Arabidopsis thaliana: one gene and its partners. The protein of the gene in region 1 interacts with the protein of each later gene in a pairwise test. Each region holds a gene or a part of one and is shown in the gene's direction. Other genes may lie near its edges.

Region 1 (4,495 bases):
TATCATCAAAATCAATGTAACTAAGGGTAATATCTGAAGAAGCTCAGCAGCAGATTAGAAGCAGTATTCACAGTCCGACGTTAATAAAAAGTAGAAGAGAAGTTCAAGAAAAGTATGACTAATAGAAGTATCACACCAGTAGCGATTACAATCAACAACATATAGCTCGTTTGAAAAGAGAAACAGGAAAATTGACTCACAGGAGTGCTTTCAGAAATTTTAATATCTTCACCCAGAGAAGTTTCCACTTCAGTCTCAGAAACAAGCGAGTCGGGCGTTTCCTTTGTATTCTCATCAGTATAGAAGGCTAAGAATGCTTTTCTAGCTTCTCTACGAGCATCTGCACCAACAAGGTATAAAAGAGAGAGAGAGAGAGACGAAATAAAGAGCTTGCTGTGAATTTCCAAAATAGAAAAAGTATTGACGGCTTTTCTTGGTGCACAAAAGAAGATTATGGATTAGTGCATGTTAAACAAGTTCAAACCTGAACTGGCACGCACTTCCTTTATTGAATGACCACGCCGCCATCCCATCTTTAGCAAAAGTTTGACCCCTGAAAAATATAAAGAAGCATAAATGTGAGATCAGGATTTCTCCACTTGATGCATTCGAAAATAAAGAAAACGAAAGAAAAGGAACTTTTGCAAAATATTAAAGAGGCTTATTGAAACTAACCAATTGACTCTGAAACTGGAGCAACAAGTTCGTCAGGAACAGGGCCAGGAATGGCTGATGGCCTGTGATACAGAAACAATATGTTACAAATATATAGATAGCAACTTCTTATAAAAAACAGACTACAGATAAGTACACAGACCTCTCATGCTGTTCTTTCTCAGCATGCTTGCGGGAATGTTCGGCTGCCGTAAACCCAAATGTGTCAAATTGTGAGCTCGCAGACAGTGATTTGCCCTCCATATCCTAAAATGGAAAAGGATTTAGAATGGTGTAACATCGTTAAATATGGTGCACATCTTCCACAGAGCAAAATATAATTCCCAAATCCACACTCCATTTTACCATTGATAAAAGTAACAGAAGAATCATGCAATATGCGGTAATCAAACTTTGACAAGCTTAAAATAACTCGAAATAAAGCTTTAACAGATCTAACAAGGAGAAAAAGATGAAACATACCGCCTTTTCATCTTCATCTAGAAAGTCTGAAATACTTTGCTTTCTCGCTCCAGCTCTGTTCTGCCTTGATGATGTAAATGACTGTGGAGCCCAGCCTGAAGTACGATTTAGATTGTAAACAGCATAGCACAGATAAAAAAGCCTTTGAAAATCAGGTAATGTAAACTTTACCCTCTTTTGATCCAACTGTATTGTAATACCCAGCAGAATATCCACCAGTAAATGCTCCATGGAACCTTCTACGGCCTTCTTCATCAGTCACCTGAGTATGGTAAAACTCGAGATGTTAGCAACTTTCCACATAATAGTACAACTATATACAGATAGACTTTATTTCCAGTAAAAACTCATAGTGGAAAGCTGGACAACGAATTCTTGCAATATCATGCATCCATTAGTAAGGACACAAATTTTCATCACAGATTGCTTCAATTAGTTTGCAATTAGAGACCAAGGAAGATGCCACATACATAAATACATATTTCAAAATGCCTACAAGGCAAACACCTAAATGCAGATAATCAATCTAATAACTATCCATAGATACATTAATAAGCAAAAACAAACACAGCAAATAACAAAAACTCAGAATCTAACTGTCTAGCATGATTTTGAGTATTAAATCAGCTCCAGTAGAGACATTCACTTCGATTTTCTTGCTTAAGGTTAATTTCATTCCGGGATACTCACAAATTTTCAAGCTGATTAAGCTGAAACGGGAATGCCTCAAAGTTATCCCTTACCTTACTCGACATAAAACCTATTAAGCTCTCTACAATACGTTAGAATCACGAAAACAAGCACAACGAAAAAACTCCCATGTTCATGGCCAAAGCGAGTCTCTCGAAGCTCAAATTATCTAATCATCTGCAACTAAATAGACGAACTAGAAGATCAAAGAAAAACTCACCTCTTGCTTCCAAGCAGGGAGAGTTCTAAGATTGCCAGAAGCCCCAGCGACTGCTTTCTTCTTCCGGCTTGCGATTTCTTCTTCGCGCTCTATTGGCGTTCCATGAAACACGAAATCTTCCTCGTCTGACCCCATTGTCTTCACCACCGAGACCGAGAGGAGCAGCAGCAATTCGAGATTCTGAACGAGTCCCAGAGAGAAGAAGAAGAAGCAGAATCAGAGAATTATGGAGGAGATATCTGGGCCTGGTTCGGGTCTCTTTTCGGCCCATTAGTTTTGTTTTAAAATCCAATTGCTATAAGGAAGTTAAAGTTATCTTCACGCGCCGTCTCTAAGCGTTGTAAAAGAAAGTGTGATTCACGCGCTTTGCTTCTTCCGTTTGCCCTAAACGACTCTGCTAGAGAAGACGAAGGAGAGAGAAAATCCCTCCGATTATATTCCGTACAATCCGATCGATTTCCCGGCGCCAGATCTCACCGCGACTCGTCTACTTTCCGATTTGGTTCGTGTTGACTCAGTTACGGTGAGTCGATTATCTCTATCTTCTCGTTTTTTTCCGATCTCCCCTTGATTTGCTCTTTATGCAGATCTTCGTGTACAAGCACCTTTAACCTGATGAATTCTGTAGATTAAACTATGGATCCAATGGATATAGTCGGCAAATCCAAGGAAGACGCTTCTCTTCCAAAAGGTTAGTGTTATTGCTCATTGATCATTAAATAGGAGGATTTGTAAACCTAGCTATATATAACTCTGCTTGAAGGTTATAGGATTCATGAGCATCATAAACTTCATTTTTTTATTATCTTGCTAAGAATATGTTTTGTTGTTCTCTATTGTTTTAGCTACGATGACTAAAATTATAAAGGAGATGTTACCACCAGATGTTCGTGTTGCAAGAGATGCTCAAGATCTTCTCATTGAATGTTGTGTAGGTAAGATCATATAGTTTCTCTCTGAGTTCATCTATATATGTGAGAGTTCTTGGTTTTCTTACTGTGGTTTAAAACATTTTTTGCAGAGTTTATAAATCTTGTATCTTCAGAATCTAATGATGTTTGTAACAAAGAGGATAAACGGACGATTGCTCCTGAGCATGTTCTCAAGGCATTACAGGTTCTTGGTTTTGGAGAATACATTGAAGAAGTCTATGCTGCGTATGAGCAACATAAGTATGAAACAATGGTAATGATTCTCTACTTTCTTCTCCTACTCTTGATAACGAGGAGACGAAAAAACGATTAATGTTAACCGTTTCCTACATTTGTGACTCTATAGCAGGACACACAGAGGAGCGTGAAATGGAACCCTGGAGCTCAAATGACTGAGGAGGAAGCAGCAGCTGAGCAACAACGTATGTTTGCAGAAGCACGTGCAAGAATGAATGGAGGTGTTTCGGTTCCTCAACCTGAACATCCAGAAACTGACCAGAGAAGTCCGCAAAGCTAACTGAAACCGTAAGGGTAAGTGTTAGGCAAGAAAAAACAACATCCTTTTAACATTCCCTTGTAAGTTGCAAATGCGTATGTTCTCTGTTTATATGCTCTTAGTATGATATATGTTAGTTAGTGTTTCACGATCTAAAAACACTTGTGATTCAGATGTAATTAGTAAGCATTCCTTGTTTTGTGTTTACTTGTGTCTTGACTAAGCATGGTGGGTCAGGTCTACACAAAGCATCTGATTCGATGACTTACAGGAATCTTAATGTTTGTAGATTGGATAAATTTGGTGATTGGTGTAATTGTTTTTCCATAAACACAATGCAATCATTGTTTAGTGTTGTTAACATTTGCCCTGTGATTCTGACGCGAACCGAGAATACTGTACTGAGCCAAACATAGATTTTTGGTTTTCGGCTAGGTTTTGGTTCTCTAGGCTGAACCGATTGGCGTACTTTCAATTTGCCTTCAGTAACCTGCGAATTTCGGTTCGGTTCGACATTGGTTTCTCAGATAGTTATTTGTTTCTTAAAGAACGGATTATACCATTATTAGACCGTTTTTTACCAAAATTTGATCGGGTTTCGCAAATGATTACGAACCGATTTTAGAAAATAAAGAAGGAACCAAAACCAAACCAAATTGAATTTCTTTTCGGTAACCAGTTAGAAGAAATACTTCGGTTAATTGATAACCGGAAAACTGACTTGGTTTGTATGTTTTGTCTTTGTCATTAGTAGAAAAAACATAAACTGATGAAATTATTTAATAGACTCTAGTTTTCCCAGTCTCAAATTTTAATCTGTTCGTACTAAATAACTGATTTGTTCATTAAATATATAGTTCCTTACAAAGCAAAAGACAAATGGTTCATTAATATTTTAGTTTCTTACTAAAAATGTACATAAACTGATGAATTATGACATCATTAATTAAAGTATATACTGTAAAAGGTAGGATGACTTTTGACCCCAAAAAAAAAGGTAAGAGGAGTGAGGGAGAGTCG
Region 2 (4,495 bases), on another chromosome or scaffold:
GATTTTCGTGGTTTGGCCCGCAAGTATTTTTTTTCTTTTCTGGTTAGCCGAATAATATTCAGAAAACGAGGAAAAGCATTGAGATTTTTTTGTTTTAACTAACTAAAATTTGGATGAGAAAGTGAGTTAGCTGGTCAATAAAAGGTACAAAAGTTTAGTGTTTGGACAGGCCACTTGTCATTTGAAAAGTCTCTTTCTGTTTTGTATGAGATAATCGTCACCAAATATATATTTTTCTTACTGACTTAATAATTTCTGTTTAACTGATTCAAATAGTAAATATATTTTGGTTAATTAAAGGTTCAAACGAAAATAAGTGTAAAAAGCTAAGGAGGAGACAAAAATAGGTAAATTTTAGTTGGTAAGAGTTGAAACTAAAAATTAGTATTTAAAAAAAAAAGCAAAGAATGTGACAAAAATGGTAAATATATAGAGAGACTTTCTTGGGGATGACTCAATGCCACTCTTTGTTCATACATAAGAAACCCCACCGATGACTTGGATAGAAAGAAAAGACAAATCAAACCCTTTCATTCTTACTCATGTCCTTTTCATACACCACTCATTCTCTCTCTCTCTCTATCTATTTTCTCCAAGTCCACTTGCAGATAGGTGCAATGGTTAAACACTAAAGTGGGATTGCCATTTTCAAAGACAAGTCCTTTTCAAAAATATCATCTTCTTCATTCTCCTTGTTGAAATCATTACCAATTTAGAACAGTCCATGGCACTTTGTAGTAAAAAATGTCAAAAGTGAAAATCAAAAGTAGACTTGGGCCAGGGACCATATACCATGTTTAGTAATGTAATTTAGATATTTAAGTTATAAGTAGTGGAGAAGTAGGCCTTTTGACGCGGATACAACGATGAAATGAAAAGAGTGATGTCTCAAAGAGTCAAGTGTCGTTCCCATGTGCTTTTTGTTCGCTATTGCTCTTTTCTATTTCATTCGCTTTAGGTTTTTAGAAATTGCAAAGTCACAAAGAGCTTCCACACTCAAACCTCAAATAAGCAAATTCTCGAACTATGCGTCGTGTATGAATGATAATTCATAAAACTTGGTTTGTTATTGAAAGACTTTTAAATTCTATAATCCTCTTTGGACTCTTTTCTTGTTTCTTCTTTGCTTGTGTTTTTTTTTTGGTATTTTTGTGTAATTTTTAGCTTTTGGCTAATGGCTACTACATTTTCTTCGTCAAAGTTCGTCCACCAACAACAGATACTAGTAGAGCCCGCCACAAATCGCTTTTGCTCCATTGTATATGGGCCTACTTACGGACCCACAAGCCGTCCTCCACAACACTAACGTTGAGATAAAAAAGACATGCGTATACAAATAAAACATGTCTATTGTTTAATTTTTGCTTGCTCAAGTCATATTCAAGATGTTAGCTTAACTTGTCGAAAGGTTTTTTTACAAAAGTAACTGAAACTAAACCAATGAAGTCACTGAAATTTGTTAACCAAAGTCCAATTTAACGACCCTTTTAGTTGATAAGAAACAGCTTTGAAAAACCTTGACCTTTGCGGCTTGAAAGCAGAAGATAATAACCTAATTCTTTTTACTTTTCTTACATCAATCTTTTTACCTTTATAATACTGTTAGTTAAAATGAAAAAAGACAGAAAAGTTGCAGGCGACATGCAGGTGACAAGTAGCAGAAGACAGTTGTCGACGTGTCACATTCACCATTTCAGCCAAAGCCATTGATCTGATTCTAGACGGTGGAGATGAGGTCACACTCTTCGATACGTAACTGCCGATACATGACGTCATCGTGTCTGTGGGTCCCATAAGTGAGATATCGTTTTACTCTCTCTTTTTTTTCATAACGTCAACTCTTTTTTTTACCCATATTAACAGAGTGGTAATAATTATTTAACAAAAAAAAACCTATGTATTTTTTATTTTTTGGTCAAAAGGTTTCTGAATAAATTTGTAAGATTATACGAAACTACAAATTCATGAGATATAGAAATTATTCAATTGATATTTTGATAAATTACATTTCTATTATTAAATTCTTGAAAATAATTAAATACAAAACTGAGTTTTTTAGTAAACTATGTTAGTTAGTTTCTTCATTTTTTGTTGTTGTTGTTGGTTTTATAGTTTCTTCATTTCTTGCAGTTAATAACGTAATTTTGTACTTTTAAACTAAAGTGGTAATTGATTAAAAATACAGTACTCGAAAATGATAAATCGGATGACAAAAAAAAAGAAAATGATAAATCAAAATGAAAATACTCACTTTCTTACTTTTTTCTTCCTACTAAAATCTCTCCGGTTTCATTCATATCCCTCTCTCTCTCTGGGCCTTACTCAATCACCACCAAATAACAGACAAAAAAACGCCTTCATCGCCGGCGAAAGTGAGTCGGAGAATGGCGTATATGTGCACCGACAGCGGAAACTTAATGGCTATAGCACAACAACTCATCAAACAGAAGCAGCAACAACAATCACAACATCAACAACAAGAAGAACAAGAACAAGAACCCAACCCCTGGCCCAATCCATCCTTCGGGTTTACTCTTCCCGGTTCGGGTTTCTCCGACCCGTTTCAAGTAACCAACGACCCAGGTTTTCACTTTCCACACCTGGAGCATCATCAAAACGCAGCCGTCGCTTCCGAGGAGTTTGACTCCGACGAGTGGATGGAGAGTTTGATCAACGGTGGAGATGCGTCACAAACCAATCCAGACTTCCCAATCTACGGCCATGATCCATTCGTCTCATTCCCGAGTCGACTCAGTGCTCCTTCATATCTCAACCGAGTCAACAAAGATGACTCAGCGAGTCAACAACTCCCTCCGCCACCAGCTTCCACCGCTATATGGTCTCCATCTCCGCCATCACCACAACATCCTCCTCCTCCCCCGCCGCAGCCGGATTTTGATCTAAACCAGCCGATTTTTAAAGCTATCCACGATTATGCACGTAAACCGGAAACTAAACCGGACACACTAATTCGGATCAAAGAATCCGTGTCCGAATCAGGCGACCCGATACAACGAGTCGGGTATTACTTCGCAGAAGCTCTGTCTCATAAAGAAACAGAGTCTCCGTCGTCATCGTCGTCGTCATCCCTAGAAGATTTCATTCTCTCATACAAAACCTTAAACGACGCATGTCCATATTCAAAGTTCGCTCATTTAACAGCGAATCAAGCAATTCTCGAAGCTACGAATCAATCAAACAACATTCACATAGTCGATTTCGGGATTTTTCAAGGTATTCAATGGTCTGCTCTGTTACAAGCTTTAGCGACCCGTTCTTCTGGTAAACCCACCCGGATCCGGATTTCGGGTATACCCGCTCCGTCTCTAGGAGACTCACCGGGACCGTCTCTGATCGCTACGGGAAACCGTCTCCGTGATTTCGCGGCGATTTTGGATCTCAATTTCGAGTTTTATCCGGTTCTGACTCCGATTCAATTACTAAACGGGTCAAGTTTTCGGGTTGACCCGGATGAGGTTTTGGTTGTGAATTTTATGCTTGAGCTTTATAAGCTTCTAGATGAAACAGCGACGACTGTTGGTACGGCGCTCCGGTTAGCTAGATCGTTAAACCCGAGGATTGTGACGCTTGGAGAATACGAAGTCAGTTTAAACCGGGTTGAATTTGCTAACCGGGTTAAGAACTCTCTCCGGTTTTATTCCGCGGTTTTTGAATCGCTTGAACCGAATTTGGATCGAGATTCGAAAGAAAGGCTGAGAGTGGAGAGAGTGTTGTTCGGTAGGAGGATTATGGATTTGGTCCGATCAGATGATGATAATAATAAACCGGGAACCCGGTTTGGGTTAATGGAGGAGAAAGAACAATGGAGAGTGTTGATGGAGAAAGCTGGATTTGAGCCGGTTAAACCGAGTAATTACGCGGTTAGCCAAGCGAAGCTGCTACTATGGAACTACAATTATAGTACATTGTATTCACTTGTTGAATCGGAGCCAGGTTTCATCTCCTTGGCTTGGAACAATGTGCCTCTCCTCACCGTTTCCTCTTGGCGTTGACTACTTGGTCCGATAAGTTAATCTAGTATTTTGAGTTAGCTTTTAGAATTGAATTGTTTGGGGTTAGATTTGGATGTTTAATTAGTCTCTAGCCTATTCTCTTACTCTTTTTTATCTAGTGCTTGGAGTGATGATGGTTTGTCGTTTATGTTCATTTGTAATATATATTGTATGTAACATTTGACTAGATTTCTTTGGTATAAACGAAAGAAGCTAAACCAAATTCATGTGAATGAAAAAAACACTAGAATTAACCCCTGAAATTGAGGAAAGGAGGTGATGAAGTTTGATTTTGAAATGAGAGTATTATGGTCCCATAAAAGAGACTGAAATTTGAATTGCACTAAGATCTTTCACTAACACACCATTTCTTCTCCCTTTTCATCATTTTGTCTCCACTTTTTCTTGCCTAATATAGTTTTGTTTACTTCATGAAAATTATATACCAATGTTTTCTGTACCATTCACTGAATAATAAAATA
Region 3 (4,495 bases), 1.2 Mb from region 1:
TGGTCATGAGGTCATCTATGGTTTTGTTTTCCATTTAATGAATTCACAGGAAAGTATTTAGCCAAAAACTTGTTACCACGAGTGCTGCAAACGATGCAATTACTCCAAACACCAGAACTCCATTGGCTGCACCGATGAATCGCTGGCTGCAACCACATGGAGGAAGGTATGATTAACTTGTCGGGTCTACCACTATTCCACTCTGGTTCTCCTTGTGTTTATACAGTTTCTGATTTAAATTGTGGCATCAGTGATTAGTTTAATATGGAGAGCTAACCTTCCAAAGAAGCAAAGGCCTCCGAAGATCAGTGAGAATAGAGTTGCACTCTCCCATCTACAGAACATTCTAGGGAATAAGTACAGAAGCACAACACTCAAAAGTGTCAGTGTAAATGAGGATCAATTGGAGTTTCATACATCGGAATGCCGAGGAAGTTGGTAAGGATGCCTGATGACCGAGCAATGTAAGCCACAAGAAGGGTGTAATGTATGAGAAGATAAGACCAACTACACAACAGAAAGGCTTGTTTCAAGTTTAAATGAAAGAAACAGTGATGGAAAGCAAGTTCTGAAGTGAGAATGAGAGGATGATTACGAAACAACTTGAACTCCAACAGACCCAAGAGTCCGCTTCGCCATTGAGACCTGCCAAAATATCATGTCAAAGCTGAGTTTAAAGACATAATAACTAAGCTAAGTTTTCATAGAAGTATTGGTTTGAGGGGATATACAAGAGATACGCCTCCAGAGCCTAGTTCACTCATGGTGTTGACATTTACTTCTGCAACCAGCAAACCTGTCACAACCTGAAGCCAACATGTATTACTAATGACCAATCCGTTACTTGCAAGAAACATAAAACAGAGATAAGAAGAATCATCCATCATCACCATGAAGGCCCAACAGAGAATGCAGGCGACTGCAGAGGCTAGAAAACCTGATTCTTGTGTCACAGCTGGAATCGCAAGTATCCCTGCACCTACCTAATCAAGAAAAGGATAAAAGTTTAGCAGAAAACAAACTTGATTCCTTGCATAGTTTCAACAAGAATATGGACAGAGTTATGAGAAAGTAGACACACTTACGGTAGTGCCAGCAACCAAGAAAATTGCACTGGACAAACTTCCTGAAAATTTCTAAAACTTAAAAACCAAAAATTTCTATCCAAATTTGGGTATTCACATGCAAAATGGTAACAGTCTTTGTACCGGATTCTCGCTTCAATGTTGATTGATTCAGGTTAGAGAAGAGCCTCTCAAATACGACAATCTTTTCTTCCTCATCTTCTTCTTCTTCTTCTGTTGTTACTTGTGTTTCTCTGCGTTCATCAGACACTCTCTGAGGCAAACACTTGAAGAATCTTGGGGTCTGAGTTCTTATGAATGGGTTTGATTTGAAACCAAAACAAGATGAGGAAATATGAGATCTTGGTAGATAAAAAGGGAGAGGTCCATTGAAACTAATGGGTTTCGTTGGAACTGAAAAGGTGGGTAATCTAAGAAGACAAGTGTAGCTTAGAGACACAGACATGTCTGTGTTTGTCTGATATCAGACACTAGCTATGAAAAGCCTATGATCAGTCTTCTGGTTTGTTTTCTGCGACTTCCGACAGTCAAAAGATTGTGTTAGAGAGAGCTTAGCTTCCAGATTAACATGTGTGGCTGTCTTATTTTTGAAGTTTTATTTCCCAATTAAATTTAAAATCTATGCATTTTATGCTTCTATTTTGCTTTTAGAAAATACTATTTGCATCAATGATACAAAAGTTGTATGCAAGTAAAAGAATAGCAATGCAAACATAAAGTATAATTTACAATTTACTCTATAAAAATAATTTTTATTTATTTTGAGTTTATGGTTTCTTAAGATATCATGTGATAAATCAAATTAAATGTTACATAATACATGCTGTCAAAATTAAATAATTGTTACATAAAACTTGTTAAATGAAAAGCAAAATAAAATATAAGATCTCATTATTAAATTAAAAAAGAGTGGGAGAAAAAAGGTCCAATTGCGTATGATTTGGGTCCGACAAGGACGGGTCAGAAAACAGAGACCAATTTCTAACTAGAAAAAAACAGATCCAAAGGAATTTATTTTTTTTCCTTTTCTTGTCGTGTTTGATGGAATCAATATATATATTTGTTAATTTGATTTTCTCTTGTTATTTATTCCAGAGAGAACGGAAGCAAGCAACACAAATTTCAAAATTAGGGTTTTTATCTTCTTCCCCTTGACTTTGGAAGCTGCTATTCCTCTGTAAAACAATAGCATGAAGAAGAAGCTCCAGACACGTTTTCCAGCGGTATGAAACATTACTTTTCACTGTTTTATAGTTTGTTATGTTCTTCTTCTTATGGAGATAACCATGAACTCTGTTTTGTGAGTTGTGAGAGTAGTTAGGTTCAACTTTTGCTATGATTTCAGGTTTACTTCTTCAGGGTTCCATGGTCCTTGTCTTCATTAGGTTTTTAAATTTATCTTTGTGAATGTATCTTTGGACTTGGAGGGCTCTTTTGTTCATGGCTAGATATAAATAAACTGCAGAGATATCTTGTTTAGGGCTAATCAAAGATGTTGATATCTACATAAGAAATTTCTTAGTGTCTGAGTCTGATTTTGTATGTGTTGATATGTTCAAAATTTGTTTCAGACAAGGATTAAGAAGATTATGCAAACTGATGAGGAAGTTGGCAAAATAGCAATGGCAGTCCCTCTTCTTGTTTGTAAGTGATGTGATGTTTTTGATTTTCTTACTCAAACGTTGTTCATATGTTAGCTTGTGTCACATGTAGTTGATCTGTTCTGGTTTTGAATTTAACTTTTCAGCTAAAGCTTTGGAGCTGTTTTTACAAGACTTGTGTAATCACACGTATGATGTAACTCTAAGCCGAGGTGCTAAAACTGTCAACGCCTTTCATTTGTAAGTGTGAATCTCATCTTTGGATTTTGCTTATATAAACCAATTGTTTTCTTGCTTCTTCAATACTTTTCTATTCTTTTTCCAGGAAGCAGTGTGTGCAAGCGACTAATGTCTTTGATTTTCTAAGAGACACTGTCGCTAAAGTTCCTGATTTGGGTGGCTCAGACACTGAAGACCAATCAGCTACCAAAAGAAGGTTAGGCCCGCTTCTTCTATAGTTCTATTCTATGTCAGCAATCAATCTACCTAATTTTGATATCGGTATCGTGTCTAACAACTTGTTTGTTCGACTTTTCAGGAAAGTTGTTGATGGAAGTAGTTGCAACGATGAAGATATGATAAAGACCACTCAAATGGTAACTAGCCAGACTTATTTTGCCAATAGACAATTGTATATTACTTAACGCATATGTTTCGCCTTGTTACAGCATGAGGTCAAACATACTAGCTGTGGCAGAGGAAGGCGAGGTAGAGGCCGCGGACGAAGTAGTGGAAGAACAGGAAGTGGGCTGTCTCTAAAATTTGAAGAAGATTTAGAAGACGGTTCTCCCGAAAGCAGCAGGACCCCGTCTCCCGAAAACGGGAGCCTTTCTCACGACGATACATCTTGGAAGAAAGTTGCATCACACAACAATCATCATAGTAGTAACTCAGAGGTAAAAGTAAGGAACTTCGATCTTAATGTTGAATTAGATGAGAATGGAGACAATGCTACATGGCTGGAAACACAGCTAGAGAGAAGTCCAGATTACCCGTTGGAGATTAACGAAATGAAAATAGATCCTGATGATCAACAACAGGCTAGTGCTAGTGACGAGGAAGATTATGATGAAGAAAGCATAGACCAAGAGTGAAAGAGTTTCAGTTTAGGTGAAATGACTTAAAACTAAAGGTAGGAGAAAGAAAACAACAACTTAGGAATTGACACACTTATATATTATAGAAGCAGTGTGTATGTAGGAGATTGCTCTCATTCTCTTTAATGTAATTTCGTTTTTTTCATTCATCTCTTCTAATTTGATAGCAAGCTTTACACAAACTATAAAATCATATACATAAAGTATGGTTTAATCTTTGTTAATGTTTAATTTTAATTAAAATATTTAAGTGAGATAGATAACCCAAGATTAATGGAACGACCCGTCGGATCCAAAAGAAAGAAACAAGCGGGTTAAATTGATATCGTCTTCGTCTACCGTTTCTCAAAATCAAAACCCCAGAAAGCAGAAACCTCTCTTCTTCGTCTTCTCTCGTCAATTCAGCTGCGACAATGGATTTCCAGGTCGTGATTCTAGCCGGCGGATTCTCTAGTTATCTTGTTCCCTTAGTCGCCAAGGTCCGTCTCTCTCTTTCACTCTCATCATCAGCATAACAGTTTCGACGAATTGCTAATTTGTTGTTGTTGTTCAGGAAGTTCCTAAGGCGTTGCTTCCCGTAGCGAATCGTCCGGTGTTGTCTTACGTTCTGGATCTTCTCGAGAGTAGTAATCTCAAGGATCTGATCGTCGTACGCCTTTTATCTTTTCAATACAATTACTGATTTCCTTTTGCGAGTTTCTAGGTTGAATGT

Evidence for each region.
Region 2: the proteins of NF-YB13 (region 1) and AT3G50650 interact in a two-hybrid assay, tested with the Arabidopsis thaliana proteins (one large-scale study listed by BioGRID).
Region 3: the proteins of NF-YB13 (region 1) and AT5G19490 interact in a two-hybrid assay, tested with the Arabidopsis thaliana proteins (one large-scale study listed by BioGRID).

Annotation. Positions count from the first base shown.
Region 1 is NC_003076.8:7,746,708-7,751,202, forward strand, and holds NF-YB13 (nuclear factor Y, subunit B13), read left to right. Parts: upstream 1-2,322; 5' UTR 2,323-2,570; intron 2,571-2,634; exon of another isoform or gene 2,635-2,675; 5' UTR 2,676-2,683; coding exon 2,684-2,738; intron 2,739-2,892; coding exon 2,893-2,982; intron 2,983-3,068; coding exon 3,069-3,232; intron 3,233-3,325; coding exon 3,326-3,496; 3' UTR 3,497-3,905; downstream 3,906-4,495. Other genes in the region: TGH (SWAP (Suppressor-of-White-APricot)/surp domain-containing protein), read right to left, coding at 201-340, 485-553, 676-737, 818-921, 1,138-1,232, 1,309-1,399, 2,048-2,182.
Region 2 is NC_003074.8:18,805,990-18,810,484, reverse strand, and holds AT3G50650 (GRAS family transcription factor), read left to right. Parts: upstream 1-2,241; 5' UTR 2,242-2,384; coding exon 2,385-4,013; 3' UTR 4,014-4,346; downstream 4,347-4,495. UniProt on the Arabidopsis thaliana protein: Probable transcription factor involved in plant development. Involved in environmental abiotic stress resistance. May increase the expression of stress-responsive genes. Binds DNA in vitro.
Region 3 is NC_003076.8:6,576,054-6,580,548, reverse strand, and holds AT5G19490 (Histone superfamily protein), read left to right. Parts: upstream 1-2,040; 5' UTR 2,041-2,275; coding exon 2,276-2,308; intron 2,309-2,656; coding exon 2,657-2,729; intron 2,730-2,832; coding exon 2,833-2,926; intron 2,927-3,011; coding exon 3,012-3,122; intron 3,123-3,224; coding exon 3,225-3,282; intron 3,283-3,354; coding exon 3,355-3,780; 3' UTR 3,781-4,039; downstream 4,040-4,495. Other genes in the region: AT5G19500 (Tryptophan/tyrosine permease), read right to left, coding at 77-146, 278-334, 418-507, 596-645, 732-806, 891-983, 1,086-1,126, 1,209-1,530; AT5G19485 (transferases/nucleotidyltransferase), read left to right, coding at 4,197-4,262, 4,337-4,432.